Linked DNA regions of Alligator mississippiensis. Each later gene encodes a partner of the first gene's protein in a complex. Links are inferred from orthologs where the notes say so. Each region holds a gene or a part of one and is shown in the gene's direction. Other genes may lie near its edges. The genes, in order: ABCC8 and KCNJ11.

The links.
Region 2: the proteins of ABCC8 (region 1) and KCNJ11 are in contact, whole or in part, in a cryo-EM structure (PDB 7S60), measured with the Homo sapiens proteins. The link is inferred for Alligator mississippiensis from reciprocal best matches to the Homo sapiens genes ABCC8 and KCNJ11. Residues at the interface, in NP_000343.2 of Homo sapiens: Phe5, Ser12, Ala13, Tyr15, Arg16, Val17, Val21, Asn24, Cys26, Phe27, Ala30, Val33, Val34, Val37, Phe41, Phe44, Ile46, Phe48, Ile49, Gly50, Trp51, Gly52, Ser53, Ser55, Lys57, Val58, His59, Ile60, His61, His62; in NP_000516.3 of Homo sapiens: Val44, Ala45, His46, Lys47, Asn48, Ile49, Arg50, Gln52, Gly53, Leu56, Val59, Thr62, Leu63, Lys67, His70, Leu73, Ile74, Met77, Cys81, Leu84, Leu85, Met88, Trp91, Leu92, Phe95, Ala96, His97, Gly98, Leu100, Ala101.

Annotation. Positions count from the first base shown.
Region 1 is NC_081825.1:192,519,456-192,536,478, forward strand, and holds the start of ABCC8 (ATP-binding cassette sub-family C member 8), read left to right. Parts: upstream 1-9,676; 5' UTR 9,677-9,888; coding exon 9,889-10,036; intron 10,037-12,579; coding exon 12,580-12,721; intron 12,722-16,493; coding exon 16,494-16,615; intron 16,616-17,023. UniProt on the Homo sapiens protein: Regulator subunit of pancreatic ATP-sensitive potassium channel (KATP), playing a major role in the regulation of insulin release.
Region 2 is NC_081825.1:192,686,377-192,703,224, forward strand, and holds KCNJ11 (ATP-sensitive inward rectifier potassium channel 11), read left to right. Parts: upstream 1-7,755; 5' UTR 7,756-7,840; coding exon 7,841-9,025; 3' UTR 9,026-12,667; downstream 12,668-16,848. UniProt on the Homo sapiens protein: Inward rectifier potassium channel that forms the pore of ATP-sensitive potassium channels (KATP), regulating potassium permeability as a function of cytoplasmic ATP and ADP concentrations in many different cells.

The DNA of each region.
Region 1 (17,023 bases):
TTTTAGCAGTGCTGAGAAAAAGCAGAGAAGTGACAGCGTACAAGTGATGGTGTACACTCCTGTATCTGAGTTAGAGTGACAAATGAAGGATGACAGAGAATGACAAAGGCAAGAACTATGAGCTCTTTCATTTAAATGATCATACTTTCTGATGTGTTGGAAACAAACCCAGCTATCAGGCTTTAAAGGCTGAAATGTCGTTCTTGTGCTGTTAACCCCATTAGCTGTTTACATCTTACTTCCTACCTGACTCCCAAGTTAGGTACAGAAATTATTTTTCGCATATTAAAATGTCATGTTACCTGTTTGGAATTCCTGTTTAAACAGCGGAACAGCATCCACAGCACTTCTTAGCAAGCAAAAATTATTTTAGGTTATCAGATGTGTTGATTGCTGCCTAAGTCCAGCATTAGGCTTGCTACAATAGCAGTGCAAAGGACAGTGCTCACATGTACAATTTCCTGAACACTGGAGGTATAATCACATTAAATAGGGAGAATGATGCTCTGTAAATTTTGGAGAAAAATTAAGCAATAGCTACTGCATGAGCAGGAGAACACTCCAAAGTTCAGTTGATGTAACCCATGAGAACTGGACCCTGTTCAGTGGCTTGCTATAATTGATCACTATTGTGGGTAAAAAATTCAAAATTTGGTCCACAGTTGTCTGTCTTTTCCTAATACACTGATGTAACATCCATTAATGATACCTGGTAAATGTAAAAGACATAAGAACCTGTAACTATTTGTAAGTGAAAAGAAGAATACCTTATGCAAGAAAAACACTTAAGAGTAAGGACAGAGGAATGTATACCCTACCCCAGAATCAGGCAGGGACAGCCATATAGCTATTTCCAGGGTAGCTTACATAATAAATGGTTAGTACTGCACCTCACAACTGGCAACAAGAGAACAAGTTATAGTCTATTTCACCTTCAGCAAATGGCTGCCCCCAGGTAAAAGTGGACAGACAATGCCTAAACCAGTATAAATTGAAAAATCAGAGTTTTACTGTTGATTCCTTCAGGGGTAATTTTGCAATAGATTGGAAAAAGCTAACCCATTATAGGGGTTTGATTGTCTGTTTACTACTTTTTTTTAGTCAGGTGTAATTGCTGTGTTGTCCGTCCAAGCCCTTAGTACAAACTTCTGTCTGTTGTCCGTTGGATTCAGTGATGATACACTTGGACAAAATTATAGTCATGTTGCTAAAAAAATGAAAGCTTTAAGAAGTTTGTAAATGTATTCACTCTTTGTTTAAATGTTCTTTTTTAATGTTCTTCCTCGAAAAACATGCAGAGAAGCACTCTTGGTGTTATCTGCATGGTCCAACATTTCATCTATATTGCAACAGTTTATCCATAAATCATTGGTAAGCCAACTGGTTTCAATTGTTTTGATCTGTAACCTTAGATATAAGAACAACATTTAGGAATTCTCCAGTCATTCATTTTTATTTACAAGGCTGAAGAATCATTTATTATTAGTTTTAATTTCCTTTGCAAACTTAATTTGACTTTTGGTGATTCTCATTTTATTCCTACCTTTTCTGCCCTCTAACTGCAACTTTCTTTGTGCATCTTTTGCTATCCCTTGTAGGCTCCCTGTTTAGAGCTTATATCCTTTTTGATGAAGTTATTCATCTTAGTAGGTCTGAGCCCATTCTGTACAATTTTTTTCTTCTCTTGGAGTGCAAATTCTTTGTGCCTTCCAATTAAAGAAAATAGTCCTTTCCATATTCAAGTCTCTGAGCTCTTCAGTCCACATGTCTTCACTAATCGCTTCCCTTAATTTAATCCTGGTTAAGTATCCACTGGGTGTGTCTATATGGGTGTGACTAATCTCACAGTAAAGCATCACCATCTACACGTACACACCATTTATTGCACAGTAAATTAGTCTACTGCACAGTTAGCTACTACCTGTAAATCACAAAAAAAGTTTGCCTTTGCTACTGCACATTGGTTACTGCACCTTTATCTAGTTCCTCATATTAGAGGTTCTAAACAATGCACTGTAGCAAAGGCGTATTAGTGAACATGTAGATGTGCCCACAGGGAGCATGTGTAGACATGCTCCCAGGAAAGGCTTACTATGCAGTAAGACTTTATAGAATTAATAGCACCTGTAGATGTGCCTAGTAACAATGATGGTAGAAGAAAGATGTAGCTGCAATGCTTGTAAAAGTTATCAGCCTGACAATACCAGACAGAAATCTTCTATATATCCGAGAAGCAGGTACATCCTGGGTAGCAGTAACAACAGCTTCTCCCAGGTTTTCTGCCAATATTCCTTATTGGGTTTGTAGGTCATGGTCTCTGACTGTTTAATCCTGGGTCCTTCTGGGTTTGTCTACATGAGACACTACTGCGCAGTAGCAATGAGCTACCGCACAGTAGCTTGTTGCCACCGTTCAGTAGTGTTGCCAGGCACTAACTGTGTGGCAACAATACTGCACAGTAGCTCATTGCTACTGTGTAGTAGCATCAGAAAAAAAATGTGTGGTGACAGAACTGTGCAGTAACACCAGTAACAACTGCACAGTCTGCCACTCATGTAGACATGGCCTCGGAGTCTAAAACATATTGCTAATTAAGCTTGTAGTTCTGTGAGGTATGGACTCCTACTTACTGGGTGTGTCTACACATGCACTTTAATGAGCAGTAGCCTATTTTACTGCGCATTAAAGCAGCATGTAAAACAATGGGTTTTACCCTATGCACAATAAAATAGGCTACTGAACATTGTGTCACCTAAAAAGTATGTGTGGGTGCTACTGTGCATTAGAGCAACCTAATGTGTATCAATTTAGTACCTCACAGTGGAGGTACTAAATTTGATGCACATTAGGAAAAGTGCATTAATGCACATGTAGGTGCGCCCAATAGGACCTGAATTGAGACTGTTAACTTCAAAAAGGTATGTGAATAAACTAATGATTCAAAACCAATTAGAGTGTCCACATTTAATTCCCAGTTCCCTGAGACATCCATTTCCCCCATGCATTTAGATTTTGAGGCATAGACATTTCACAAAATCATCTTAATTGAAAGGATTTTCATCTCTAGATTCTGACAATAGTCTTGTGCTTCAGAGACTAAAAACAGATTCAAGTCATAGTTTAGTTTCCAATCTCCCTATAGATCACTCTATCACTAGGGCTGCTTATAGACATTTTAAAAAAAAAAGGTGTTTTACCTGAAACTCATTGCACTCCCCCGTCGAGCCCAGTGCATGAACAGAAGAAGCACTGCATTAGTTGGACCTGGCTCACCCAACGCTTGTATAGATCAAGTGTTTTAGAGGAGCTTTTTGGTGTTTTTATCTAGTAGCTGATTGAATCAGCTTTTAGATAAAAGCACCAAAAAAACCTGCTGAAGTGCCTGAACTATACAGATGTTGCCGAGCCAGGTTTAACTAATGTGCTGCTTCTTCCACTAAAGTGTTTTGGGTTTTTTTTCAACATCTGTATGCAGCCTATATGTGCTTTAGTTCTCCATTGTAAACTGAAGATTATTCCACTTTCTTTCCCTGCATTTTGTCTCTTCCATCTCTCTTTCTTTGTCTGTCCATACATACAACACGGTTTACAACAAGGCTGGCCAACTTGCGGCATGAATGCCACAAATGACACAGGGAGTCTCTATGTGTGGCATATGGCAAACTGGGGAGGGAACAGGCAGCACAATGGCAGATAGGGCAGGGAGCAGAAAGCAGATCATCAGCACAGGGCAGGAAGCAGAAAGCAGACCAGCAGATCAAGTAGGGGAAAGGAACTAGAGAGGCACTCAGGGATGTGCAGGGCTAATTTGTGGCATGCCTGCCAAAGAGGTTGGCCCCCACTGGTTTACAGTAAGACCTCCACTGTCACTAGGGGCATCCAAAAAAATAATAATTATAAGTGTAACTTGTTGTTTGCACACCACCAGGATATATTTTAAGCAAAGATAAGGGAAAACCAGAAACTCAGAACTGAATCCTGGGTTGGATCCAGAACTTAATTAATTATTGCATTTTTAAATGTTTTGTATATGTATAGACAGACAGACTTTTAGGATTGGAAAATAAATAAAAATGCTCAATTTGGCTTGGCTTTTATCCTTCTAAATATAACCAACAGAGTCTTCCACTCACTGACCATAAAGAAGTTTTTGTTCAAGAGAACTTTGTCCAAAAAGGGGTCCAAAAGAACCATGAAAAAGAAAGAGTGCTAGGCATTCACAAAGAGAGAGATGCTTTCTCGTTCCTCCCATCTTGGAAGATGATCAATAAAAAAGAACAAAATGCGAGTACAGAAGCTTTCATGTCTATTAATGGCATTGTCCATCCCAGAACTCAGATCCGTCCTGTTCTTATCTATTACCCTGAGCATTCAGCGCATGATCCCTCAACGGAGAGATCAAGCAGCTGCTCTCTCTTTGTTAAGTACATAGGATTTTTCATTTATGGGTCTCATTTGCAAAAAGGCTTAATGGCAAAGATTTAGGGGACAAAGTGCACCTTGTAATGGTTGTACTTTAACATACAAAATCTAAGCCAAAGTACATATGGCTGTATTTGCTTTTTTTCCCCCCAGCTTTTAAAGAACAACAATCTGCATTAACTGCTTGCATAAACACTGGCTTGGGATCTAGTAGAAAGCTATAAGATGAAATGTCGAGTTCAGAATCTGAATTTTGAACATCTCTCTACTATGGAGGGTGATTATAAAAAGGATTGAGATAGACTATTCTCTGTGGCCACAGGGGACAGGACTGGGCACAGTGGTCTCAAACTGCAGCAGGGGAATAGGCTACTCAGAGAAGTTGTGGAATCTCCATCCTTGAATCGTTTTAAAATCGGGTTAGATAAATAGTTGACTAGGATGGTTTAATAAGAGATGATCTTGTCTTGAGCAGGGGGTTGGACTAGATGACCTCCTGATGTCCCTGCTAGCCTTTCTGTGATTCTGTGATGCTGTTGTTCAGGGATGTTTGTATCTAAGGTTTTGTTTGGAAAATAGGGACAAGCTGTCAGCTTCAGCTGTAAGTCATGGTTCAGTTCTAGTACCTAACTTCTGATAGAGGGGTCTTTAACCCAGGATTTTAGTGTGTCTCTACTAAGCCAAACTGGGTGCATATACATCTGCAATTAATGTGCCAAATTTTCTCCACAGAAATTTCAGGCTCATTAAAGCATTCCTGGATGTATATTTACACATGCATCCACGTCAGGAGCAAATTGTGCCCAATAGGAACAGGCCAGTCCAGGGCTGCTTCTGCCCTGCTCTGCCCCCCCCTGCAGCAGCCAGGGGGAGTCCAGGCTCCCCTGGGTGCCAGCCCATAGCTGTTCCAGCTCTGGGAGCAGCCCTGATCTGCATGGGGATTTCCATGTGGCTGGAAGGCAGCTGCTCAGTAGCTGGGACAGCTCTCCCAGCCCTGCAGAGTTCTGGATGGGTCCCAATATCCATGTGGCTGGGAGGCACCTGCCTGGGAGCTGGGACAGCTCTCCCAGCCACGTGGAGATCGGGACGGGTCCCAATCTCCATGTGGCTGGGAGGCAGCATCCCACCTAACTGGGACAGCTCTCCCTGCTCCCTGTGGTCCCCTGCTGCCTAGGCTGACCAGGAACAATTTGCTTCCAGTCAGTGTCTACACATGTATTTTGGCACATGAGTTTAATGCCCCTATTTCTAGTACCTGTATCTACGGGTGCTAAAAAATGGCACAATAGACTAACCTAGTGCATAGTAACTGCTGCACGCATAGTCAGTGATGCTTTACTGTGCATTAGATTAGTCTAATGTGCAATAAAGTATCTGTCGGCACACCCACTGTTGAGTTTTGGACTGAATTTTGTCAAGTGTGTTGGCATTTAATACTTACCTAAGGCTAACCCCCAAAGTCCATTGAAGTTAATGGTAAGACTCCAGTTGACTTCAGTGGGCTTCAAATGAAGCCTTAGGTGAAGAAATTAACTTTCATCTGGATTCATTACAGGCAAGAGTAGCTGAGGAAGTAAATTGAATAACGCCCATTTAGGATAGGATTACACTTAGTTAGAAATCTGCACTGAGGGCAGGGTGCAGCTGTTTACAAGATTTAATCTAATAATGTCCTCCAGCTAATAGAGAGAAAAACTCAACCCTGGTGAGATGGTAGTCAATTATAGTCCCATAGGTCTCCTGGCATTACTTACGTAGTCCTTGTTTATTAGAGAAAATTAAGAAACAAAATTATCTTGCTTATACCATATAAAATGCTAAAAAAACTAGGCCCAAGTCAACCGGTCACTCAGAAATGGTTGATGTCAGTTTGAGTGTTCTGTCTCTTTCTCATGTCCCTTTTAGAGTCAATATAAGGGTACTGATTTCTCTCATTTTGATTTGGCAATATTTTACGGGCACTTTACATAGGTGTAAATGATTATATTAGGTACTAAGGCAATGAAGAACAAACCCTTTTGTTTCTGAAATCTCCTGTCTTTAGAAAGAATCTCTCCATGTCAGGAATGAAAGGGATTAGCAGACTAGAAGAATCCTTAGTAATAAACGAAGGATATTAGGCAACACTTTTCAAAGCCCATGGGGATGTTTAGATGCCCATTTTAAATGGGAAGTGAGCATCCAAACCCCCTAAGCAGCTCTGAACACTCCAACTTAGGCTTCACAAAAACATTTTCTTTCTTAAAAATTCATTTTATAAAACCTTTTATGACAAATAACCCATAACTGCCACATCACAAATCTCAAAAGGGCCTTCACCCAACAAGGACACACTCCTCAAGAGAGATCGTTCTTTTGAAACAGCCACTCAGATACCATGTGAAGATTTGCTGCAGTACAAAAAGAAAATCCCCACAAATCGCACACCATTAGTTATGAGATATCACCTTTCCCTGGAATCTATATGGAAAATCCTCAAGCAATTGCAACCCATACTAAAAAAAGACCCATTTCTTAAAGAGATCTTTCCAGCACCACCCACCTTAGTATTTAAACAAGCACCAAACCTCACTAACCTCATCACCAGAAGCAAACTCCCTATGACTCAAGCCACACTAAGTGGATCCAGACCATGCCAGGACAAGAAATGCTAAACCTGACAACGTATCTCCACCACCCCCACAATAACTACGCCTCACAACAGAACCATCATCATTCCTGGATCTTACAGCTGCACCTCCAGAAATGTAATATATCTCATCCAGTGCACCAAATGTCCTGATGGAAAATACATAGGAGAGACGAAACAACAACTGAGCACCAGAATGAATGCACACCAGAAATCTATCAAAGACAAAAATATCCCATTACCTGTGGGGGCACATTTCTCACAAGACAATCACTCCCTGTCTGACCTTTCAGTTCTAATCCTCAAAAGGAACTTACAAAACACCTTCCATAGATGAACCTAGAAACTTCACATCATAAATCTACTGGATACAAAAAATCATGGACTCAATATAGACATTGGATTTATGACACATTACAACCTGCCTGACATCTGATTCACCAGGTACCTGCCTGAAGTTATCATTTTCATTCCCCGCCCCTGCCAGCCCCCGTTTCTCACTTCCCCTCCTTCTCTATCCCTAATTTCCAGCTATTTACTTTTTCTCAGACTCCCTCCTTTCTACCTGGGAGAACTCATTACTACAGTAGAGTCTCCCTTGCTTACCTTTGGCATTCCTTCACCCATGTTTCCCCCCTCATTCTGTCCCCTCCTCTCCCTTCTCTACCCATCGTTTTCCTAATTTCTACCTATTTACACTCTCACTGACCTCCTGTCACACTTTTAGCTTCTTTCATTCCCTGGAGATCTCAGAACAGCAGAGTCTTCCTATGCCTGAAGAAGGGTACCTGTGCCCAAAAGCTTGCCAAGAGCTTTGTTCCAACTACTCAGTCGGTCTAATAAAAGATATCACATCTACCCAAGGAACCTTGTCTGCCTTTACGACAAATAATTAAAAAAAAAAACACCTCCATTGTTTAAACTGTGTTAAAAACTGGCAAAATTGACCTTTCACACTTCATTTCCTTACCTATGTGCTGACAACTGAAAGTGGTGGGATCTTTTGGGAGTGAGAGTGAATTAAGAAATGAATATCCCATGAGTTTCAGGAGGAGACTCCATGATATCACATTCTGAACCCTATACACCCTACAAACTGCTAAATGACTGTTTAGCCGGCATCACTGTAGAGGTATGGTGGTGAATTAATCACACATTCACTTTCCACATCTGGGAACCTGGTTCAGTGTCAGGCTGTCTTGAAACAAATGTCATAGTGACATCCACCTCGTAGCAAATGGAAACCCAAGCAAACTTTCAAAGCACCGTCTGTCTGGGTAGAATTCAGCACAGTCACCTCACCAGATTCTTGTCAGCGTGGTCCCAAGGATCCGAACATTTGATTGTATACAGACAGTTAGGTGTACTGGTACAGCTGCCTGCGGAGATGATGGGAGAGATCTGGGAAGAGGATGATAGGCATGTCCCTCAATTCACTCATGCAGTGATTCTCAACCAGAGAGCCCTAGCACCCGGTGATGCTGTAAGATCCTTAGAAGGGTGTGGCAGGATCTCTCACAAATATTAGCACTGCTAGGGGTGCAAAGACCTTTGCACAATTCATAGGAAAAACCCAGAGGTTTCAAACAGGAGTCCGCAGTATCAAAACCATTCGGACCTGCTGCAACCCTTCTGTGTTCTTTGCAACAGAAGACGTGCTCCCCATGTTTTGACACACACATACGCTCCGTATGCACATGCTCCGTACGCACATGCTCCATGTGCACACATACATGCTCCCCAGGCTTTTATACACATATGATACATGCACACACATACCAGGTTTTTATGCACACACACTCCTGACATTTTTATACACACACTCCATCCACATACATGCTCCACACAAATACACACACACACACACACATGCTCCCCATGTTTACACACACACAACCAGGGCTGTCCCTAGCAAGGGAATGAATTGGGGCGACTGCTCTGGGCCCCATGCTTCCGGGAGCCCCACGGAGCTGGGCCAGCTTCACATCCAGCCACTCGCCACCTAGCCCCCAGTCTCCCCGCCAGGCCACACAGGCTGATTTGCCCAGGGTCCCACACCCTGCCACGGTTGTCTCTGCACACAACACATGCACACACACACTCCCCAGGTTTTTACACACACACACTCCTGACATTTTTACACACATGCTCCATCCACACATACATGCTCCCCAGGTTTTTACACACACACACTCCTGACATTTTTACACACATGCTTCATCCCCACACACATGCTCCTCAGGTTTTTACACCCCCTAGGTTTTTACACACACATGCTCCCCAGGTTTGTACACACACAACACATGCCTGCACACACACTCGCCAGGTTTTTACATCCACACACACACTCCCAACATTTTTACACACACAAGTTCCATCCACACACATGGTGTGTCCCCCCCCCCACACACACACAGACCCACGCTCCCCAGGTTTTTGCATACACACACTCACCAGGTCCCCCCACCCGGCAAAGTTTTTACACACGCACCCACGCTCCCGGGTTTGCACACGCACACGCCGCCCAGGCCTGCCCTAGAGGCGGGGGTGGGGAGGCGTCGCCCTGCCCGTTACGCGGGCGGGGGGGCAGGCGGCTCCTTTAAGGCGGGCGGCCCGGGCAGGACGAAGGCGCGATGCTGCTAGCAGATGTGGCCCTAGGCTGCAGCCCGCGGCTGCCGGCGCTCCCCGCCTAGCAGCGGCGCTGGGGCTTGGGCAGCCTCCCCGGAGCCGCCGCGGCATCGCCCCCCTCCGCCTCCTGCCGGGCGGGCTGCGCGGGATGCGCCCTGGCTAGGGCTGGGGACCCGTCGCCCCCCTCCCGTCCCCGACGCCCTCGCGCCATGGCCTTGGCTTTCTGCGGCAACGAGAACAACTCGGCTGCCTACAACGTGGACAACGGGGTGCTCAACAACGGCTGCTTCGTGGATGCCCTCAACGTGGTGCCGCACGTCTTCCTGCTCTTCATCACCTTCCCCATCCTCTTCATCGGTGAGTGGGGCGCCCCCCTCCCCCCCGCGGGATCCCTGCCTCTGGATCCCCGCGCGCACAGCTGGAATGCAGCGCGCAGCTGGCTTGGGGCGGGGGAGGCATCTGCAGAAGCCTGACCTGGTTTCCCGGCGCCCCCCCCCACCCCGCGCTCCTGACCTAGCAGGACAGCGGCCTGGAGGACGAGTCCGTCCCGGCTTCCTTCGCAGAGGAAAGCTGCCGGAGCACCTGGGATCCGCCTCTCTTCTCTATTGCAAGCAGAAATCAAGCTCCCTTGCCTTTGACTTTGGGGGCCCGGCTGTGAGATTTCACCCCTTCTTGTGTTCCTGCTGACTGGGTTCATGTTCTAGGGTAGATATTAGGACAAATTTTTTCACTAGGAAGATAGTAAAGCACTGGAACAGGCTACCCAGAGAGGTTATAGAGTCTTCATCTGGGGCACATCTACACGTGCATATTGATGCAGAGCAATAAACTCACGGGCTTATCACACCACAGTTTATTGCTCCCAGGCACCACATGTACACTCGCGCACCCCATTCAGCCCTGTCAGCATCTGCACGTGTGCTGCTGCAGAGTGAAAAACTTTGCCCTAGGATAATACTTGTATTACCTGCTGTGGAGTTTATTAGTTTATACCAGTCTAATAGCCCTACAGTCTAGATGCCAAAATGTTTACTGCAGAGCTAATAAGTCTACTCCTCTTGTGTAGACCTGCCCCCTTGGAGGTTTTTAAGACCCGGGTAGACAAAGCCTTGGCTGGGATGATCTATTTGGGGTTGGTCCTGCTCTGAGTAGGGGTTGGACTAGATGACCTCCTGAGGTCCCTTCCAACCCTTGTTTTCTATGATTCTATTATCCTTGTTTAGTATGTAGGCAGCCCTCAAAGGGTTATTAGTAATAAGACACATTCATGAGTTAGCAACCTGCTTCCCAGGCACCAGAGAAGCCCAAGGCATCCTGCTTAACCATGCCATGCTAAAATGTTAAGTTCAGATCCTGATGCAGAGCTATGGATGCTTGAACCTATCGAAGCTGCTCTCACCCTGCTGTTGGGTTATTAACACTACTTGCTAAAACATAAATGTTGCCATTACCCAAGTAGCTTAGCTTTTCATAGGATAAAGAATCTTGATGAAATAACAGGGAAAGACACGTTCTGCAGTCCTTGGGCAGGTAAAGCTGCTCTTGAAGTCCATGTGAAAATGTGTATTGTGAGAACTGAATAAAAACTAAGAGGATGAGGGGGTTTGCTTTATTGACTTTGTCAGGTAAAGGAAATAAAACTCAAACACATTTACTCTTAAAGTTAAGGAAGTCTGACAAGTGAACAGAAACATGCTTTGTTTAAATCATACCGGCATTTTTATTGCAAGTAAACAATGTTGGCCTGGCCCTGAGGTGTACGTGGCACTGGAGATGCCATGTATCGGGGTGGGCAAAATGCAGCCCGGGGGCCGGATAAACTAATATTTATCTGCCCCCGGCTGCCTGTCATGCGGCCCTCGATGGCTTGCCAAAGTCAGTAAGCGGCCCTCTGCCCAAAATAATTGTCCGCCCCTGCACTATATGGTCCAGTAGTTGAATACATTTGTACTTTACTTCTCAAACTTGGAGTCCTGATTCTGTGTAAATTTCAGGTTAAAGGAGTTTGGTAGTTTAGTTTTTGGATAACACACAATAACCCTGTAATTTTTCTACACCCTTGTCCTTCGATCATGAAAGTTCCAGCATTAGAAAAACAGAATTAACGTTCAAAACAGAGAGTAATTTGAAGAGTTCTCTAGGGGAAGTAAGTGCTGCATAGTCTCTCTTCTACCCATGGCTTTCTGCAGTGTTCTTAGTCCTTCGTCTGTGTTAGTCCAGACAGCCCTGGCATGATTTAAAGAATGGGAGTTTCAAAGTAACAGATGATATTTATTTGAGTTAAGAAGTCTTAAGTGTTTGATTACTTTAAGAAACATACTTTTTTAAAGTTAAATTGAGGAATGTAAATTGCACAGGTTTTATCACACAGTATTAGTAAAAATAATGAATTTTAATAGCTTAGTTAAAAAGGTTTAATGTATGTAATTATTTGGAAACAGGTTATTAAGTCTGTACCGGAGACTTGTGTTGTATATTCTGTCTGTCTTATTGCTTATACTTTGTAAGTTAGTAATTATACAATAAGTGCACAGTTAAGCAATCACTTAAACATGCATAAGTACTCTTATTAATTGGAGTGGGTTTACCCATATGAGTGAAGTTATTAATATGTAGCAAAGCAGGGCATAAATATGTGACTCAGATTTTTTTTCCTTTAAAACTTGTATGCTTAAGTTCTCTCGTATGATTTCTACAACCACTCTAATTCTTGGAAGTGCACAGAAATTATAACGTCATTCCTAGTGTCACATTTTGACGATACATATTTCTAACATTCTCCAATTCACTTATACTACCTTTAAAAGCAGAGTGGTCAGTATGTTCAGTTTAGAATGTTTTATGAAAGGGGTTTGTGGGTGTATTAAAAATCCTCATGATGATTCTGCTTTTACATTTAGGATGGGGAAGTCAGAGTTCCAAAGTTCATATACATCATAGCACATGGCTGCATTTTCCTGGCCACAATTTACGTTGGATCTTGACTTTCATCCTTTTGTTTGTGCTGGTGTGTGAAATAGCAGAGGGCATAGTGTCAGATGGGTAAGTGGATGCATAGCTTCTCTTGATAACACCAACTATTTTTAAAGGGTTTCAATATAAGTACTAACTCCCTGTCTAAATTTTCGTCTAAATCATTTGGCTTGGAATAAGCATGTAATCTGTATTCTTGGTGATTAACCTACAGACCTTGTATCAGAAATTCCATAGACCTTGCCAAGTATGCACACACACACACACAAATGGCCTTAATCATTTTTAGTTCAGCTTAATGACATTATCATTCCAAAGAAAAATTGTAGATAAATCCTGACAATTCAAGCAGATGATGACATTTTAATGACATATTTTTATATATATCTAAGGGCCTGATCTCAGTCCTTACTCCCCATGATATTATCAGCAAACTCCCCATGATATTATCAGTGTTCCTCCATGAGCCAAATTGTACTTCCCTTAACAAAAGAAGTTGGCCTCTTGGACCCCTTCTCACACAGGTTTTACACTGTAATAGACTTCAACAGAGTGGGCGTGTCTACACATGCAGTTAGTGTGCATGAATAAACTTCAGAGCTTATTGTTCTGGAGTTTATTTCTGTGCAGCACACTGAGCCTGGTTAGAGCAGCCCTGGCTGGCAGCAGCCCATGCTTGTTTTGACTGGGCTCAATGTGCTGTGGAGGGGCTGGCTGGGGCATGAGGGTGCTTCATTGTGGGGCTAACTGGCAGGCAGCCCCTGCCCTGAAGTACCCTTCTGCCCCAACCACCTGGGCAATGTCTACATGTGTACTGCTGCACATGAAAAAACACCGAGGCAGGCTAGTACTTGTATTACCATAGTCTTGTGTGCTGTAATAGGGGTGCACATGTAGATGCAGAGAGGTTTTACTTCAGAGCTAATTAGACAGTTCTGCAGTAAATGTCTTGTGTGTATGTGCCCCTTATGTAGCATGAGTGTGCCTGAGGAGAGACTCCATCCCATTGTCTTCATGGAGCTACTCACAGTACTATAGAAAACAGGATCTGACCCCCATCAATGTAAAAGCCTAGATAGAATGAATGCGAGAAGCAAAGGTTTTTCACTGATTACTTCTTATTGGACCAATTGTGTAGCTGCAAGAAGCAAGAAGACAGGTCTCCCCCATCTTTCCTGGATCATCATGGCTGCTGCAACACTCCAACCCAAAACTGAATGAAAGCAGACAGAACCTGCTTCTGCTCCAATTGATATCAAATTTATCCTCTCATAGAAAAGAGGATTAAATTTGAAGTTAGAAATAGACCGTTATATTAACATGATTATTCTTTCTTAATTCTAACATTACTTTCACCTGGCGCATCAGCTGTATATATCTTTAAACTTGAATAATAAAATATGGGAGAAACTGTTGTAATTGAAGCAAGTCATATGATCCATGAAAGTATGTTAACAAAAGTTAGAGGTGTGGAATGATGACTGATAGTGTTTTTCATTATTTTAAGGAGGTGTGATTGTATTTCACATTATATGTAATGGATTGTATAGCCTTTGCCATATTAAACAGAACTGTATCTCTGAATCAGTTATACCCATCTGTATAATAAGGATAAAAATACTTTCCTAACATTTGTAAAACACCAAGGTTCTTGGATAGAAGGTCACATGACCACATTTATTATTATGTCCTCTGAAAACTAAATATTAGGTAGGAAATCTCTCAATACCTAAAAGACCATTTTAGAAAGAGTTTGTCAAATAGTGGTTTTAGTTTTTCACTGTGGAGTTGGGGAACTGGTAGGGGGCCAGATTGCTGTCTCCTTCGAAGTTATGGTTTGTCTTGAAGGCTAGGGACAGAAATTACACATACATCAGTATAAGTGATAGAAAACCAGTTGAAATCTGTAATACAATAGAAGTTCAGTGCACATAAGCCACTTTCAAAATGGCTGAAACTAGTTTAAGATAAACCTGAATGGATGTAGCATCAGACTTAACTGATTTAGGTTAAATCAGCTTATTGAACTTCTGTCCTGGGATCCTTCCAGATTCAAGTGAACTCACAGTCCCCCAACATCCCAGGATGCTTTGCACCTTCCCTCAACCCCCTCCCTCCTCACAGGGTGGGCAGGCTAGCTTTGGCCCAAGCTATCTACTCCAGCAGAGGAGGGAGGCACACTCTAGCACCCCCACCTCTGCCCCCACCAGCTTCTGGCAAGGGCCACTGCAGGCATTTGGCTGTATTTCTAGAATCAAAAGTTCTTGTCTTTTCACTTGCTTATTGGTTCAATCTATGCAGTTTAGACAAACGTACAAAGATTGAATTGATTCAGCCTGGGGCTTTTTGACTCTGTGTAGCTGAAGAAAAGTCCTCCCAGTCATGTACTGCTTAAGTTGACCCAGAGAACTGCTGTTGGGTACTAAGTGCTACCTAACAAGAATCAAAGCTCCTAGCTATAGAGTTGTGTCTCTGAAGCACTCAGCAGACTAGCATGTGGTCCTCTGAATAAAAACAAACTTTTGTTCCTGTAGTGAAGACCCTCATCTGCTTCCTAAGGCAAAACAAGTCATACTATTAACACGTCCTCTTGACAGCAGTAGACTGTCAAAGGGTTTTGCACCCAGGAATAGGCAGAGGCTATTGTGTTGCAAAGACGGTTCTGAGATATGCTTTTAACTTGGTATTCCAGCAACTTAATGTTTCTGTTTACTTACAGATAAGTATCACGGACTCAGTTCATGTTAGAGCAGATAAGACTATCAGTCTGAAGAACACTACTGTTGAAACCTATGCAAAAGATGTGATCCCTAAGATTTTCCCTGCTGGAAAATCTGTTGACCAAAAGTTTGGGTTTCTCTATTAATATACAGACAAGTCTTATTACGCCCAGTTGGAGTTGAGGGTCATCAAACAGCACAATTGTATCAATTGCCTACTGTCTTTTCCAGTCAGAAAAGCAGTCTTCACAAAACCCCCCTGTTCCAAGTTGGTCTATATAGTTGTCTCTTCATGTGTGTCCATTCTCTTTGCAGCTCAGATAAGTGCTGGGCAAAATTGTGATCCTTTCTTTCCAGTTAGTACAGGGGGTGCTTTGTCCATTTTTGAGAGGAGAGAAGGGGGATTATGGTTCCACCCATCTAGGTGCAAGACAACAGAACTAGTTAACTACGTATAACAGAGCAGGCTGCACTCAAAATGTGGAATAGTACAGCTTCAGTGGGTTTTCCTCAAGCTAAATGCCCCTCATGTTTCCTCTTGGACAGGATAGTTCTGTCCTACCCATAAAGCAAAGATATGTCTTCAGGTACCATCTGTTTTAGCTTCATGGTCATTTGAAATTTTGTTTGCATACTTGTTAAAAACAGAACAGCCTAGCATTGATACCAGGCTAAAGTATTCTTCCATATTGCTAAGCTGGGGTATGAAATGATGGATTTCTTTAAAGCTGTTCTATAACATTGTAAGCCTTTGAACTTTTTTGTAATCATAGTTGCTTATTTATTTGGTAGAAAGCTTCCAAAGTAATTACATTTTATAATTCATTTGAACTAAAGAGTCTAAAAAGAGATTTCTTCTGAGACTGATCTTGCTGTCCTGGTTTAGGCAACGCAGTACTCCATTGGTTTCAGTGAGAACTGAAGATGCATAGGGGCTGAATAAGTTGTTCCTTTCTCAGTTTAAGGAATTTCAAGTTTACCTAAATGATTAAATACATTTTATTCCTAAGTCACTTGCACTTTAGAAAATCCCACCCTTACTATCAGGGAACAAAAATGGCGTCCAATTAAAAATTTAAACAGTATATACTTAACTATATAATATACTTTTTTTTTTTTAGGATTTCAAACTCCCATCACTTGCATCTGTATATGCCGGCTGGAATGGCATTCTTGGCAGCCATCACATCTGTTGTTTACTACCATAACATTGAAACATCAAATTTTCCTAAATTATTAATAGGTATGTTCCACAATGTAAGAAACTGGATGTGTGAATAAGTATGTTCCTATGTTATCTGTTTATTCTGTGACTGGCAGTAGCTGCTCCTATTGACCTAGGCTTCTGTTCTGTTTCTGTTTCTAGCTCATCTTTGTTTGGATCCACTGATCCAACATCAATTCAGATAATTTTTGGGGAAGGGTTGCTTTTTTATAAATCACTCTTTCCACCATATTTAATTTCTTTGAACTGCCTAATGTTGACTATATATGGCATTTTCATTGATGGATTTGGCCAAATGCTTCTTTACAAAAATTGGGGTGGGGAAGCTGTAGTAACTGTTACAAATGAAGTTTCAAAGTCCAGATGTGGCTTGATCATGTCAATTTAGTATAATTCCATGCTAAGCTATAGTAGAAAAGTAGAACC
Region 2 (16,848 bases), about 170 kb from region 1:
TGTTTTACGGCAAAAGAAGTCATGGTTCAGGAGGGACCCCACTGTTGCATGAAACAGCAGAATATACACTCCCAAAGATAAGTTACTTTGCTTGGGATCGGGGCTTCACTGAGCTAGAAGGATGCTGCACTTCAGCAGAGATGGTCAGAAGCTGCAACAGCTACTGCAAAGGAATCCTATTATTCTCTGAAGGCATTGGGCTGGATTGTGAAGCTGTTGCTGGCCTCTGTGCCTGCTAGCTGCACAGTCAGGATTTCTTCCATTACTGCTACAAGCTGAAAACGCTTCTGCTATGATAAATATGAGCATTTAGAAAATTATCAGTGGCTCTGAATCACTTTAGGACATTTAACAAGAGAAGTCAGGACTACTTGGTTAAAATCCTGGCTCCGCTGATGTCAGGAAATATGACTAATTACTTAGATTCTATTTCTACCCTTCCTCTGCTAATCACTTGCTGTGCAACTTGGGGCAAATCACTTCAGCTCTCTTCATGAGTTGTCCACCCATCTGTGATACTGTATTCATAATACATGGTCTCCTCAGGGGAGTTGCAAGATTTAATCAGTATCTGTATAGCACTTAGTGGTTCTTGGTTGATCTAAGTGCAAAGTAAACAGGAATATTTCACTGTTACCTGGATATTTATTATGCCGTTATAATAAAACCCTGCTTCCCATAAGAAATGATTCAGCAAGAGAAACAATGGGGAAAGTATATACAAGTGTAGTGAAGGAAAAAGGCCTATTATCACGCCATAATCCACTTGCTAAACTGTAAAGTGAGAGGTTCTTCCCATGACCTTTATTTGTTCTACAACCCTAACCCAAAATAAGTTGGCTTGTACAGAATGGCCGCTCTTGCCCCACTCCCCGATTGAGTACCCATTTCTGGCTCCATAGAAACAGTATTCCTCTTTGCTTCGTTTAAACGCTCATCAGAAGCTATTTGTTTCCTGCAGTTGGACAGTTGTGTGCCCAGTCACCAAACAGCTGAGATGGGGGAAGATGAGATAAATTGGTGAGTGACATGCACAAAACAAGGAGAGAAGGGTAGCGAAACACTCTCCAGTACTGAGGGATCTGAAAATGCAGGCCCTTCCTGGATAATTCAGCTCATGCTACATGATTTCCTATGTAAGGTTCCACTGCTGACTCTCACTCCCAAACCATAAAACTAGTTCACTAGTGGGATGCCTCCCTCCTGACACTATTTTTTCTTAGAACAATGTTACAAAAGCTATTTGTTCCCTTTTCAAGTAAATGTAATCACTGCCCTCTGGAGGGCAAAATACAGAATTAAAGAAGCTTTTTTTCATTTTGGTTTTTAACAGTGGGCCTCACTATATTATTTCCCCCTGTGCAAAATATAAAATGATACCAAGCAAATAGTGTTCTGTGCTTTATATCCATTTTGCAAAAATGTAAGCAACTGCATAAGAGGTAGTGAGGTAGGGAACCATGTCCCAGTGCATGAGCCTTCAAATGAGTTAGCCCAATTAGTAGCCCTGTGCAAAGCGGCTAGTATTTGCTTCAGATTTGGATTCAGCTGATTCAGGGAACAGCGATTCGATTCGGTGATTCAAATCGATTCGGCCGAATCTGATTCAGAGATTTGGCTGCTGCCGAATCAGCCGAATCTCCAAATCACATAGGCCCCATCCCCTGCCCACTCTCAATTGCTGCCCCACCAGCGGCTCTTTGGGAAAAAAAAGCCCACACTTACAGGCTGCTGCCAGGCGGGGGGCGATCCCCACTGCCCCATACTGCATGGGGGGCTCTTCCACGAGCCTCCAGAAGCCCTGAGGCCGCTGCAGCAGTGGTGAGTTCAGGGGGGGGTTTGTTGTTTTTTTTAAAGGGCCAGGAGCTGGGGTGAGCAGGGCAGCCATGGGGGTGCTGGGAGAGTGGAGGGGGGTTTGGGAGGGCTGGGGGAGCAAGCAGGGGATGGGGCCTGGGAGGGGTCCCCCCATGGTCCCCTCCCTTTCCCCACCCCCTACTTACCAGCATGGAGTCTGGGTCCAGCTCCCTGCTGCAGCCGGTGAGGACTGCCCAAATTGCCAAAGCTCTCTGAATCTTTTCCGAATCCATTCAGAGAGCTTTGTCTTGATTTGGACCTATTGAATTGATTCAGTCCCCTGATTCAATTCAGAGATTCGGCCACCAAATCGGGTCGAATCTCCTTCAAATCAAATCAGCACTGAAGCTTCGCACAGCCCTACCAAGTAGCTGATTAAAAAAAAAAAAAAAAAGTTTAGAAAAGGACACAAAACAATCCTTTTTTAAATGTGAAATATACCCTAACATCTATGAACCTATGAATGTATGTAGGTGATGTATGTAGGTGATGTAGCTATGTGTAGATGTAGGTGTGTAGGGGATGTACGTATGGAGTAGGTGTAGGTGTGTGTAGGTGATGTACGTATGGAGTAGGTGTAGGTGTGTGTAGGTGATATACATATGGAGTCTTCACAAATCAGGTTTCCATCTGCCATATAAATATGGCAATCCAATAAGCACCCAAAATATCCACAAGAGAAATAAAGTAAATGGGAAGGGGGAAAAACCCCAACACACACACTTCTGGCTCAGATTAAAACCCATGGTATCAGATTAAGAGGTATTTTGAACAGAACAGTTGAAGACGTTTCCCTGGGCATTTCTAAAACAATAAATGGTGAATATCAGAGAGGGCATTGAACAGGGATATATCACTCCAGAGATACCTGGTTCAGTGCCCTCCCTATAGTATACAGCATCCACTTCTGCCACTTAGAGACAGGATTCTGGGCTAAATGGACTATTGGTCTGACATAGTTTGGCACTGGCACATCTTATGTTCACTTTTTTATATCAGAGTTAAGAACGACAGCCCAGAATATGAGAAAGAGATATAGAAAATACAGGAAACCTCCCAATGAGTCAATATATCCAAAAACATATCTGGAATCTGTATATCCCTAACAAATTTGCTTATATATTAACTGTTTACATCTATAAAGTACCTACATATATAAAGAAAGAAGCAAGACAGAATTTAACTGTGGGATCTAGAATTATTTTGCTAGAGTGGTCAAAGTACACAATCAGAAATATTTGTTCTAATAGATGTGGAAGCTGCCTACTTAATTTCAACTTCCAACACTGGCAAGCTCTCACCCGCTAATCAGGACCTGGGGAAACAACTATTCACCGAGGCCCCCCAGGGGAGGACAAGAAATAATGGGCACAAACTAATTGAAGATCGCTTCAGGCTAGACATAAGGAAAAACTTCTTTATAAGTCAAGTGCAGAGGGTTTGGAACAGGTTCCCACCAGAGATGGTACAGTCACAACCCTCGCAATCTTCAAAAAACATCTTGATGCCTATCTTGCTGGGGTTATCTGATCCCAGCAGTCTTTCCTGCCCAAGTGCAGGGGGGCTGAACCTGATGATCTGTAAGGTCCCATCCAGCACCCAACATCTATGAAACTATTAAACTTCCTCATGGCAGTAAGACATTGTCTAGTAAATCAGTGCCAATAACCACTTAGATATTATGACAAAGTAATTAAAGCTCCAAAGCTGAGGAGTGATTTGAGAGAGATACATGATCCCTGCAAACCTCCAGCCTCTTATTTTTTCAGGGAGAAAAAAACTGCTTTAGTGTGGATGAGAGGCATAACTAGCAATTTTGGCACCGTGGGCAGAGATGCCAGAGAGTGGTAGATGGGGTCTACCTGCTCTGGATGCTGCTGATGCTCTGCCAGGTCTCCAAGGGCCGTCTATCTAAAGAAATTTAAACTGGCATCTTGGGCTGGCATACCACTTGCTCTGCCATAGTTATGACAACTCTTTAAATTTAATTCAGAAGATAAATTTTCGGTGCAGGACAGGCTGGTAAACCCTAGTTCAATTACTTCACTGATTTGTATGAGTCTAAACCCATACAAAACAATATAAACTGAAAGTATCTAATCAAAGTTTTCAGTTTAAATGAACGGGCAACATCCCTTTAAATGAAATATAGCTGACTCCACATGCTGAACACTCTGGAAAAATAATTCCCAAGTCTGGTCTTAAATAAAGCAGGTTGCGTTGGTTTGGGATATGTAAATACATATAGAGAATCCACACAGCAGCTCTGGTTTCCCTCTTCTTTGCATCGCCTTTGGCAGTTCTCACAGACCTCTGGAAGCTCAGATCATGCTAGGTTAAGTATATGCACTTGAGTCACTCCTTAGTTTCCTTCCTACTGCATCAAACCTAACAATTACTTGCATTCATGTGCCTTGCCTCAGTATGCTGGCTCCTTGCTTTAAATAAAAACCACCATCTTATTGGGTTTTATGAATCTACTGTGTATGTGGGTCTTTATAGTTAGAGAAGTAGGGCTGGAAGGGACCTCCAAAGGTCATCTAGTCAAACCCTCTGCCTGAAGCAGGATCATCCCTATCCAAACCATCCCGTATAACCATAATCTAAACTCTACATAAGACTAACCTCAACCCGGACACAACATAGACCTAACACCCTAACCTGCCACGGGTGAAGCAGGGGAACAAGAGGTCCTGGGTAGAGGGCCACACACCCCACTACAGAGGAAGGCAAAACCCCCCACAAGCCCATCCCAATCTGACCATGGGGTAGTATTTCTTCCTGACCCCAAATATGGTGAGCAGTCTGACCTTGAGCAAAGGGGCAAGACCCTCTAGCCAGGAACCTCTGGGCTTTGCTCCTAGCAGGAGAATCAGCACACCTCAACTGAAGTCTCCAGCCTTAACTAGCCAGCACCCAATGCCTCTGTGGAAGCTAAAAAAACCCCTAATGCATAACAGAAAAAAGGGAGCGGGGCAGGAGCAACCAGCAAAGCCCAGAAGCATAGGAAATATCTATGGCAGAAAAGAGGCATAGCTACAACTTGATAATCCCTGATCAGTGGCTGTCCAACCTCTTCTTGAACACGTCCAGTCATGGGGAGTCCACAGCTTCCCTAGGCACTCTATTCCACTGCCTCACTATTTTCACAGGAAATACATTTTTCCAGATATCCAATCTAAATGTACTTTGCTGCAACTTTAAGCTAGAGATAATGTTCAGAGATAAATACTTCTAAAAATGTAATTAATGGGGTTTCAATATTCTGTCCCAAGCTTAAAATTAAGCATGTATTAATGCTTTGCTGATTGCAGCCTTCCCAAGGAAAGTTTCTATCCTTTAGTATCTGGTTGAACTATTTGATACTTAAATGTATCATTTCCTGCTACTTGAGCTCTGTGGAGCTTCCCTGAATTCTTTTATAAAAGGTTTCTTTGGAAAAAAAACAAAAAACACCACAGTATCTATCTTGCATGCTTTTTCATAAATGCAAAGAACAAGACAAAGAAAATAATCTTAATATAAAATAAATAGCAGAAGTACATCTATTGCCTAAATGCTTTCCATGCCACTAACAAAACAAGATAAATCAATGAAATGTAATGTAATTATACATGGAACTAAGATCCCAGCACCCCTTGGATATCTAAGTGATAACCAAACATCTCTGACGTGGATCGGGAGCCAGAAATGATGGCTTTCTGTAGCCTAATCCACATTCAACTAAAAAAAAAATTTAAGTAATACATTTAAAAGATCAATATTGTTTTATTTGCATTGCAAGCAGGGCCATATGTGACAAATGCATGTATTTGGAACAGAATGAATCACAATATCTCAAAATTGCCTAAAACAGCATAAATGAATTAGCCAAGTGACCTTTGCCTAGATCCATGTTACTTCCCCTGGATATGAACTTACTTACAAAAAGGAAAAAACTGGACCAGAAAGACAGACCTGGGAAGACTCACCAACTCTTGCTTGTAAAAAAATTATTTATTTACAAAAAGGTAAGGATTTCTGTGGGTTATATCTTTTACTGGACCAGCTACATGGCCCAGATAGACTTAGGCATGCTCTTGAATGCAGTTCATTCTTAATATTCGTATATTAACATATATTAATTCAATATAGTAATTCATATATATTAATTAAAGAATGAACTGCATTCAAAAGCATGTCTAAGTCTATCTGGACCATATATATTTGCTCCCCAATATGTGTGTGATCTCCCATCACCAGATACTGTGAAAGCAAGTGCAGAGAGCAGAGCATAAGAAGAAAACAAAGGGCATGAGAAGCATACGAATATAAGAAAAAAAAGACATGTAAGGAAAACAGTCTAAGGGGGGCGAAGGGGGAAGTCTGAGCCCAACAGAAGGAGGCTTTCCCAGTGCAGCGGCACACACAGTACCAGCCCCTCCTTTCTGGGTGCTTCCACTGCAGCATCTTTATGGCTGTCTCGCAGAAACCTGTCACGCACGCACGTGCACACACACACACACACACACATATACGTACATACAATAGATAAATATAGCTATCGTCTAGTCTGTATGTATGCACTCAGACTGCATTCAAAAACATGTCTAAGTCTATCCCAGCTGCACTGCACTATTATATATGTGTCTGTGTGTATGCACTTATACATATAAGTGTGTATACATAGATACACATATATAAACATATGTGTGTACGTATCTATCTCTATATCTATCTGTCTACATATCTTTCTATCTATATAGGTCTAGATAGATCAATAGGGATAATACACACACACTTTGGGAGGGAAATGATATATATCATTTGATATATGATAGATATATATAAATTTGCCCCTCCCCAAAGTGCATGTGTATACCTATTATAGATATCTATCTATCTATCTATCTATCTATCTATCTATCTATCTAGGTCTATGTAACGATAGATAGATAGATAGATAGATAGATAGATAGATAGATAGATAGATGTGCCGTCCTTGCATCTATCTATCTGTCTGTCCATTGCATCCATCTATCTGTCTGTCCATGATGGACAGATAGATAGATAGATAGATATGCCGTCATTGCATCTATCTAGCTATCTATAGTTATATAGATATATATAGATAGGTATAATACAAACACACTTTGGGGGGGTGCAAATGATATATATCATTTGATATATGATAGGTATATATAAATTTGCCCCCCCCCCCATGCATGTGTCTATTTATCTAGCTAGGTCTAGATAGATAGATAGATAGATAGATAGATAGATAGATAGATACGATGGCATATCTATCTATATATCTCTATATAGATATGTAGAGATATATATATAGATATAGAGATAAAGAGATAGATATAATACAAACACACTTGGGGGGAATGATATATATCATTTGACATATGATAGGTATATCTAAATTCCCCCTCTACCCAGTGCATCTATCCATCTATCTATCTATCTATCTGTCCGTCTGTTTAGATAGATAGATAGATAGATAGATAGATAGATAGATAGATAGATAGATAGATAGATAGATAGATAGATGCAATGATGACATATCTAGCTATCTCTATACAGGTATCTAGATCTATATATAGAAACAGACAGATCCAGTACACACACGCGTGGGGGGGCGAATGCTACATGTCAGTCGCTGTGTGCTGGGTATGTGTACAGGCGCCCCGGCGTGCACGTGCCCCCACCGCAGACGGGGACCCGGCAGGGCGGGCGCAGGTGGCGGGATGTCGCGGCCCCCCCGCGCAGCCGGAGGCGGGTGTCCGCAGCCTGGCGCTGGCCGGGGGCGGGGGCGGGGCAGGGCGGGGCGGGCGGCGGTGCCCGGGGGAGGCAGAGGCGTGCGGGGGGACCGCGCCGCGCCGCGCCGCGCGGGGCCGGGCCGGGCCGGGCTGGGCCGCGGCAGCGGGGCATCGCCTGCAGCCCGGTGACTGGCGCCGGTAGGCGGTAGCCGGCGGCCGGAGCCGGGCGCGGCGGAGCCATGCTGTCCAGGAAGGGGATCATCCCCGAGGAGTACGTGCTGACCCGCCTGGCCGAGGATGTGCCGGATCACGCCCGCTACCGCGCCCGGGAGCGGCGGGCCCGCTTCGTGGGCAAGAACGGTGCCTGCAACGTGGCCCACAAGAACATCCGCGAGCAGGGCCGCTTCCTGCAGGACGTCTTCACCACGCTGGTGGACCTCAAGTGGCCGCACACGCTGCTCATCTTCACCATGTCCTTCCTGTGCACCTGGCTGCTCTTCGGCATGGGCTGGTGGCTCATCGCCTTCGCCCACGGTGACCTGGACCACAGCACCCAGGTGGAGCGGGGCGGGGACCCCGGGGGCTTCGTGCCCTGTGTGACCAGCATCCAGTCCTTCACCTCCGCCTTCCTCTTCTCCATCGAGGTGCAGGTGACCATCGGGTTCGGCGGGCGCATGGTGACCGAGGAGTGCCCGGCCGCTATCCTGGTGCTGATCGTGCAGAACATCGTGGGCCTGGTCATCAACGCCATCATGCTGGGCTGCATCTTCATGAAGACGGCGCAGGCCCACCGCCGGGCCGAGACCCTCATCTTCAGCAAGCACGCCGTGATCGCCCTGCGGGAGGGCAAGCTCTGCTTCATGCTGCGGGTGGGCGACCTGCGCAAGAGCATGATCATCAGCGCCACCATCCGCATGCAGGTGGTGAAGAAGACCACCAGCTTGGAGGGCGAGGTGGTGCCCCTCCACCAGATCGACATCCAGATGGAGAACCCGGTGGGGGGCAACAGCATCTTCCTGGTGGCGCCACTCATCGTCTGCCATGTCATCGACCAGAACAGCCCCCTCTACGACATCTCCCCTCTCCACCTCAACCACCAGGAGGACCTGGAAGTCATCGTCATCTTGGAAGGGGTGGTGGAGACCACGGGCATCACCACCCAAGCCCGCACCTCTTACCTGGCCGACGAGATCCTCTGGGGCCAGAGGTTCGTGCCCGTTGTGGCCGAGGAAGATGGGCGATACTCTGTGGACTACTCCAAGTTTGGCAACACGGTGAAAGTGCCCACCCCTTCTTGCACGGCCCGGGAGCTGGAGGAAAACAGAAGCATCATAGACACCATGTTACAGTCGCCTAAAGGCACCATTAGGAAGCGAACTGTCAGGTTAAAGCCCAAATTTACCATCTCTGATGAGCCTTCCTGACACACGTGGTAGAGGAAACTCTGGTGGGGCTGTGTCCAAAACATGCAATAAGCACCAACTCTTGAGACTGCCTCTATTTTTTCTTATTCCGGTTGGTAGCACAAGGTATGTGTTGTGTTATTTATTGCAGGACAATTGTATTCTGTTATTATTTGTAAAGGTGTGAGAGATTTAAAGCAGCCTTGGAGGGGTGAAAATGTTAATCTGCTGTTTTAATTTAAAAATCCTGACTCTTGCATTTATTTGCATGATCATTTTTGGACTGAGTCATCCACATGGGAATCAGACCTTCCCTTGAAAAGTAACTTCATATGTGCCCTGGGAGGTTGCAATATTTAGGGCTTTGCAATGTCTGTCATCCAGACAGTAGTTTTTAACTGCTTTTCTGAATAGAAACATTATCATGATGCAGAAAAAGCCTTTAACAGTTATTATTATTAATCTCAAATCAGAACTTAAATAATAATAATAAAAAAGGTCAGGCAGTAATTTTTATGAGAAAGATAAGTCTGGATATGAAGGTGCCTGTATAAGTCATGGTACTTTGTCTTGCAGAAATAAACTTACAGATTTAATTTAGACCATATTGTACTGTCTGGATCCATTGACTGCAAGTGCAGTAGGAGAGTCATTTGTATACGTATTTTTGTATCTTTTCAAACTCTTCTACAGTGCCTCAAAAGAGGATATGTTATCTCTATTTCTGATAGCGAGTGATGCACCTATGGTTTCTAAAAGGGTTTGTCTTTACAAAGCAGAACAGATATTAATTGATGTTATGTAACTGAAATTAATTATGGAAAAGAAAAATACCTTCATCGATTGCAAACAAACAAAAAGCCCAGCCACAACATGCTAGGGCACCTGTGAGAATTCATCCCCCAATGATTTCAATCAGATAACAAGGGAGTATAAATTTTATCAAAGACCTTACCTAGAAAGTGTTTTGCAATGAAAAAAGCAGTCAGGACTCATGGTAGATATGATATGTTTTATTAGACCAACAAGATGTTTGCAGAGAACTGTCTTTACTTGCAGGCTTTCAGGCACAAACACCCTTCATCAGGCAGTTTTCAATTAAATAAATTTTTTTGCAAACATCTTGTTGGTCTAATAAAAGATATCTCTACCACGAGTACCGATTGCTTTTTTCTCTAGACCAATATGGCTACAACCGGGATACTTTTTACGGTGAAATAGCAGATGCAAATTATATCAAATGGTATTTGCCTGCAATTAGCAAGACCCCTTAATTTTATTTTAATTTAGTTTTAGTTTTAAGAATGATTCAAGAGCATTTTGTTCTGAGGCAAGGGCGGGATGTATAGGATAATGCAGCCTACTTCCGGGATGTCAGATCACAGCACATACCATTGTTGTGAAGACTGCACCCTTTTCATTTAGGGCCTGATCATGAATTAATTTTTGCACAACTTCGAATTCCACCTGCTCCCTTTGATTTTGATTGTGCTCCGAATGCAAGATCAGGCATACAATGAAAAAAAACACACCATTAATTCACTAAGTTTTCTTTTTTAGCAGTCCCTGTTAACCTGATCCAGCAAATCTTCCACCTGGAGAGTTCCCATTAAGAACAATGGCAGTTTTCTGTGTGGAGGGCTTGTACGATAGGGGCCTGATAACATCCTTATAACATATTCTTGATAAGCACTGCAGACTGCCATTGAAATCAAAGAAGATGTTGTCTGAATAAGGCATCAATAGAGATGGCAGACTGGTCTTGGTGACACAAAAGATGAGATGGTACTGTATCACAGGCCTCTGTGTGAGGTTGCATTGTTCTCTTTAACGAATCTCTGTATGGGAATTCCTTGCATCTTACAAAATTATCGCAATATTCTTTTGAAAACAGTTTGTCTTGTGGCCAGTTTTTACACAACTTTTCAGTATAACAAAGCACAAATGCATGCAATAGTAAAGAAGAAAAAAAAGGAAAAGAGTTGCATACTTACTAAATAAGAATTTGTGATAAAATGAAATAATTTCGATAATAAAAATCTCAGTACATTAGAAACATTATTTTTATCATTAATAGCTATAAATCTCACAGGTTAAGTAAGGCTTGCACTTATGCTATCCAGACAGCCAGCTAAACGAATACTTAGAAACATGTTAATATGTGTCCAAGTTTCCAAAGTCGTAACCTAATGGGCGCATCTACACATGTGCTTTAATGCGTGGTAGACTATTTTACTGCATATTACAGATTAAAGCGTCGTATAAAAAACCATGACATTATGTTAATGTGCAGTAAAATAGTCTACTGTGCATTAAGCATCACTAAAAAAGCATGCAAATGCACTACTGCACATTAGCGCAGCCTAATGCTCATTAATTTAGTAGCTTACATTGGAGGTACAAAATATAATGTGCATTAGAAAAGGCGCATTAATGTATGTGTAGACACGCCCACTATTAATATTATTTTGAAGTGCACTTAAAGTGTGGTAGGCGTTTCACAGTGAGAAGACATAACAGGCTTGAAAAATTGGAGTTCAACAGCATTAATATGTAATTTGCAAGGGAAAATTGAAAATTAAAATGTAAAGCTTGGTAAAGGGAAAAAAAGCTCTATTAGGAAATGGTAAAATTTGTTCTAATTATTAAAGTCTTTTTGTGAAATTCAGTTTAACTGCACCATCATTTTCCCTCCCTCTCTATTACTGCATCTCTGTCAGTCTTCACTTGGAGATTATTTACGGTAGATCTGTTTCTCATGGGTATGCGTGAAAAGCATATGTATATAATAACCCTTTGAAGTTTCTACATCCGCCTTACCAACTGTCACTGTTCTGCTGTCATATCACTAAAAGATGCATAGATGAAATATCACACAGGGAAGTTTCAAATGACCTGAAGAGTCCCTGTATTATTTTCTGTCTATATAGTGCCTTATTTCGGTACATAAATACTTACAAATGTTTATTGACAGAAAATGCTTGGAGACTGTTGTTCTTCTAACATTTTTTTTAAGTTTTGACCTATATGAGAAGCAATTTCAGGAAGACTACTAGCCAAATAAACCTTCTATTCAGAAACAGATTCAAACCTCTTGTTTCCTCAAGGAAGTTGGTACCACAGAAATAACCTGCATTTTCTTTGTACTCTGAAAGACAGAAAGGTGGGGAGCTGAACTGCCTTAAGGACTTTCTTTTATGTCATCACTGCAGAAAGCACCTGAATAACCAGCAATGTGAGGGTAAGAGACAGCAAAGAAAAGGATCCCCAGGAATATAAAAAGAGAAGAATCTCACAATAAAGGTTTCCGTGGGCAATTAATTTAATCAAAACCTTTGCAAGTCTGTTAATGGGAATTCTTTTTTGTTTCTTTTTCATTTAAATTATTTTGTGCTTTAATGGTTTGAAACATATCACTGTATATTGGGGCATCATAAAGCAACAAAAGCAGAAAGTTTCAAAGTGACTGGGGACAGAAAACATTTGCAAAGACTGTTTTATTTTCTTGCCATCAAGTTGTTTACAAAATATTTGATAATACCCTAAATCCAGAATTGTCTGTGAATTTACACTTAACACTAAACAAGCAACTTTTCCTTAACAAGCTTTCCAGATAGCAGGTTAGTGCTATTATTCTTTATTTATTAAAAATCCTTTATTTCACCATGAGGCAAGATGATTTTTCTTCTATGGCAGTAGTCCAGCATGAGTGATGCATTTGAATTTTTTCTCCTAGGGTCCCTTTCAAATAAGCTATTCATGGGGGTAGCCCCAGGTGATAATCTGAAGGGACACATTTTTTACAGCATTAGGAGAAGACTATGTTCTTAGTGCACTAAACTTGCCAATATTAGTAAGCTATGCCATCTGAATGATGAAAGGAAGTTACATGTTTTGCAAACATTTATATACATGAGCAACTCCTGCACACACAAGTAATCCTGTTTAACTCGTGATCTGACCCGCAAACAGTATTTATGTAAAAAATCCCAATACCATGACTTGGCTGTTTACTTATTAGAGCAATGAAGGGATAGGAAAGATTCCAGTTAACAGATGGGCAATAAGAAAAAATTAAGCGAATCTGGTTAATAATAAACATGATTTGAAGGACAGCCAAGTCCTCTGTCATCGTTTTGAAATATTTTTAGCCACTGTCAATTAGAATAATGGTCCCAACTAGGCCATCAGTTTGAACATTAAACTGATCAATTAAATTAAAGGACATTGTGCTTAAATAAGAGATAGTGATATAGGGACCAATTTGGTCCTTTTACCCCTGCTACAAAGCACAAATGGACAATTCATACAATATATTATTAGAAAATACAGTAAATGTCAATATGAGACATTACCTGTAAAAATATATTAAAAACGGGTAAACACAGGAGGCTACACATTGGGAGTGGGGGAAAGGAGCAGCCGTAACCTATTACATTTTAAAATGCTTCTTATAGAGAAAAAGAAGGCATGGGTTAAGACAGATGCAAAGGGGGAGTGAACTCTGTGTGTTGGGAGCCCCTACAGCAAAGGCTTCACCAAGGTGAGATGACTGAATACCTAAAAGATGGATGGGATGGTTAAGAAATAAATAAAGCTGGGACTCATGAACAGTAATCAGCTGTATAAAATCAGCAAGACCAATTCAGAATCTGTCTGCCCTTTATAGAAGCCAACCCAGAGAATGCTGGCTGGGTGTAATACGATCAGAGTTACTCAATCCATCCAGTACGCATACTGCTGTGTGCTGCATGCAACACAAGTGACAGAGAGGTGTTCCTGGGAGGCCTGTTAGAAAGGAGTTAGAGGAACTGAGTCTTATGATTGGCTGTTTATTAATAGTCAATAATATATTGCTAATTAACAATTAAAAATCTGACAGTTCAAGTTATTTTCTTTTGCTTTTCCCTCCTCTTCGTCCCCGTCTCGCGCTCCCCTTTCCCCCCTATTTACCAACTGACACATGTGCGCACAGCCCTCAATGAATTATTATACAACGGCTGGCAAAGCAGGCTTGATTTGTAAAAAAAGCAGAGAGTGTGTTTACAAAAAAAAAGCAACTTAAGTTGCACAGAGTTCAGAAATGTGATCACAGTTGTCAGATGTTCTACCTTTCAGCTGTCACATATAATAAAAGTGGTCTGATAATATCAGTGGGACAAGAATAAGGGCGCTGACTGCCTTGTACTGTCCCTTTTGCAATCCATGGTGGGAAAAAGCATGGTGCAGCTGTTGGGCATACTTGAAGTGGGATAGGAATTCTGATTCTGTTCCCATTTCTGTTGCTAACTTGCTTGGTTCCAGTCTCCATGGATATATGTACATGGCACGGTGCCGTGCAGTGCAATACTGGAGATACCAAAGCAAGTTCCCAAACCAGAGGCAGCATAGCCCCAGCACTGTGGCATTCCTTCTGTCCTAATTAGACAAGGCTCTAAGGGTTCTGGGATCTGACCCAATATCTTTGCATTGCACTGCAGTTTGCTATGTCAATACACTGGCTTGTTCAGCATTAGCACTTTTACTTCTTTTACCTCTTACAGCACGTTTACTCCTTTGATGTGTTTCATTCCTATGTAGGCACCGTCTCTTAGGGCATTTATACATGTGCTCGGGGGGGGGGGGGGGGGGCGCTTTAATTAGAGAGCCACTCCAATGAAAGCACCCAGTGTCACATGCATCAGGATCCCTACACTGAAAATGGCGACAGGGGCACTTTAACTAAAGCTTTAGATATAGTGCTCCCACCACCATTTTTCAGCGCAGGGAGGCTGATACTGGAGTCTGCTAGAGCACAGTAATTATCACGCTCCAACAGGCTCACTTAATTGAGTCTGCTCCAACACTGTAATTACACTGCAGCAGAGAAGCTTCACTGCACACGTATAGGCGCCCCGTGTCACTGTTTCCCATCTGTAACACAGAGGTAACAGCACAGAGGTGTTAGGAAGATAACCACAGGACTGAAGCATTCATATACTATGAAAATGGAGGCATAGGGTCAGGACGTTTCTGAAGAAGGGCATGCCTGGGTACCATTTGTGAGTGCTGTTTTGAAAATCTGTCAGAGTTTGAATACCTTGTAGAGGAATCAGTTGCACTAGCAGATGTCTGACTCCATCAAAACTGGATCTTTAGCAATGAAAACTGAACTGATACCAGGCCCCAAGCGACCGCTGTTCAGCTGAAGGGCCATCATTCCCCTATGGTGCTCCCTCATGCAAGGGATCTTCCCTTGGCAGCCAACACAATGGGGTTGGGAGCAACCAAACTAAGATCTTGTTTTATTGCCAACTAGGTAGAAGTTTCTTCCTTTTTTCATGTCCTTATGATCAGGTATTTAGCAGATTTGTTGGACTCTGACAGGCCACGCTGTGAGCACTTTTGCTGTGACCTCAAATTTGCAACTTCTGGGCTGCTAACCATGCGCCTTAACACCCACACCACCCCCACCTGTTAGGTAGAAGTTGGAAGTGAGTGATGACAGCCACAGGAGCTTCATGGGGATTCATAGGGAAATAACAGGCACTTCATGAGAATAACCCACAGAAAAATTAAAAGGATGGCATTTCTCTCCCTGCTACCTCTAAAGTTATATTTATACTTACTCCAAATTGCAAAACTAGGTGTTCTGTGCATTTTGGACTCACATTCTGACCTGTATTCAATCATATCCAATTGCTCCCTTTGGAAAGGAAAACATGTCATGCCCATAATATATAAAAGCACAACAGGCCTGATCTAAATCCCATTGGAGTTGGTAGAAAGACTTCTATCGACTTCAGTGGGCTCCAGATTGGCCCAAGATTGCCCCAGTTCTCTAACCTCAGTCAGATATAGATTTATTTTGAAGGCAGTGGTGAAAGGGTTTTTAATCTAAAGGGCTCGGTTCTCCAGTACATAACTCAAGTGAAGCTCCCACTAAGATCAATGGGAACTTTGTTTGAGGAGTAAAGACTGAGAAGGCATTTCAGTACTGGGTCCAGTGACAGTATGAGAAGCACATTCAAGATGTTTGTTGGATGTTTCATTGACTGTCTGTAGCAAATGACGCTTTGTACTATTTTTGATGTCACTGCTGGAGAAAGATACGTGATACAAACCTACACACTCTTGACCAAGCAGTACTATTAAAAGCACAGAAGACATTCTCAAGAGTATTTAAATATCACTGTCCACCTCATGCTGTTAACAATATTGAATGCTAATAATGAATTTCATTATGAATACTGCTCTGTTTCACACTGATATGTTGATACCACCCACAGGACAACACTAAATCTTGTGGAAGTCATTGCATGTTGTTCTGCAATGTCCAACTTTACCTAGAGGAATGTCTCAAGGGACAAGCATTTCCAGTCTTTCTTTGTCTCCTGTTTATGTCTGACACCTATTAATACTAGGTTTGATGCAGGGAGCTGGGGGGTGGAGTTTCAGCTGTCTCTGTGGCACTGATCACATTTCCCACACACATTTTTTCAAAATCCTAGATTCATCTATGGGAGCTGATCTGAGCTCTGCTTGGGTTGTGGGGGAAAAGAGAAGCTTGGCAGTCCTGGCAGGAATGCAGAGCAGAGCAGGCACTCTATCCAGCAAAAGGGGATGAAGACAGCCTTAGATTCATGTTGCTTCCCCTGCCATCCCGAAAGCCCAGTCCCTGAGCTACAGCGCACCAAGCCTGTGCACCAGCAACAGGAAGAGGATATCAGCACCCCACACCATAAAATAAAAGACCCCCAGAAGCCACATGCTGCCCCTTCCTCTATGCAAGGCAGAGTAGAATCTTGAACTCACAGGCTTGGGCAAGGAAACCATGAGACTATGTGTAGGGAAGCTCACTTCCC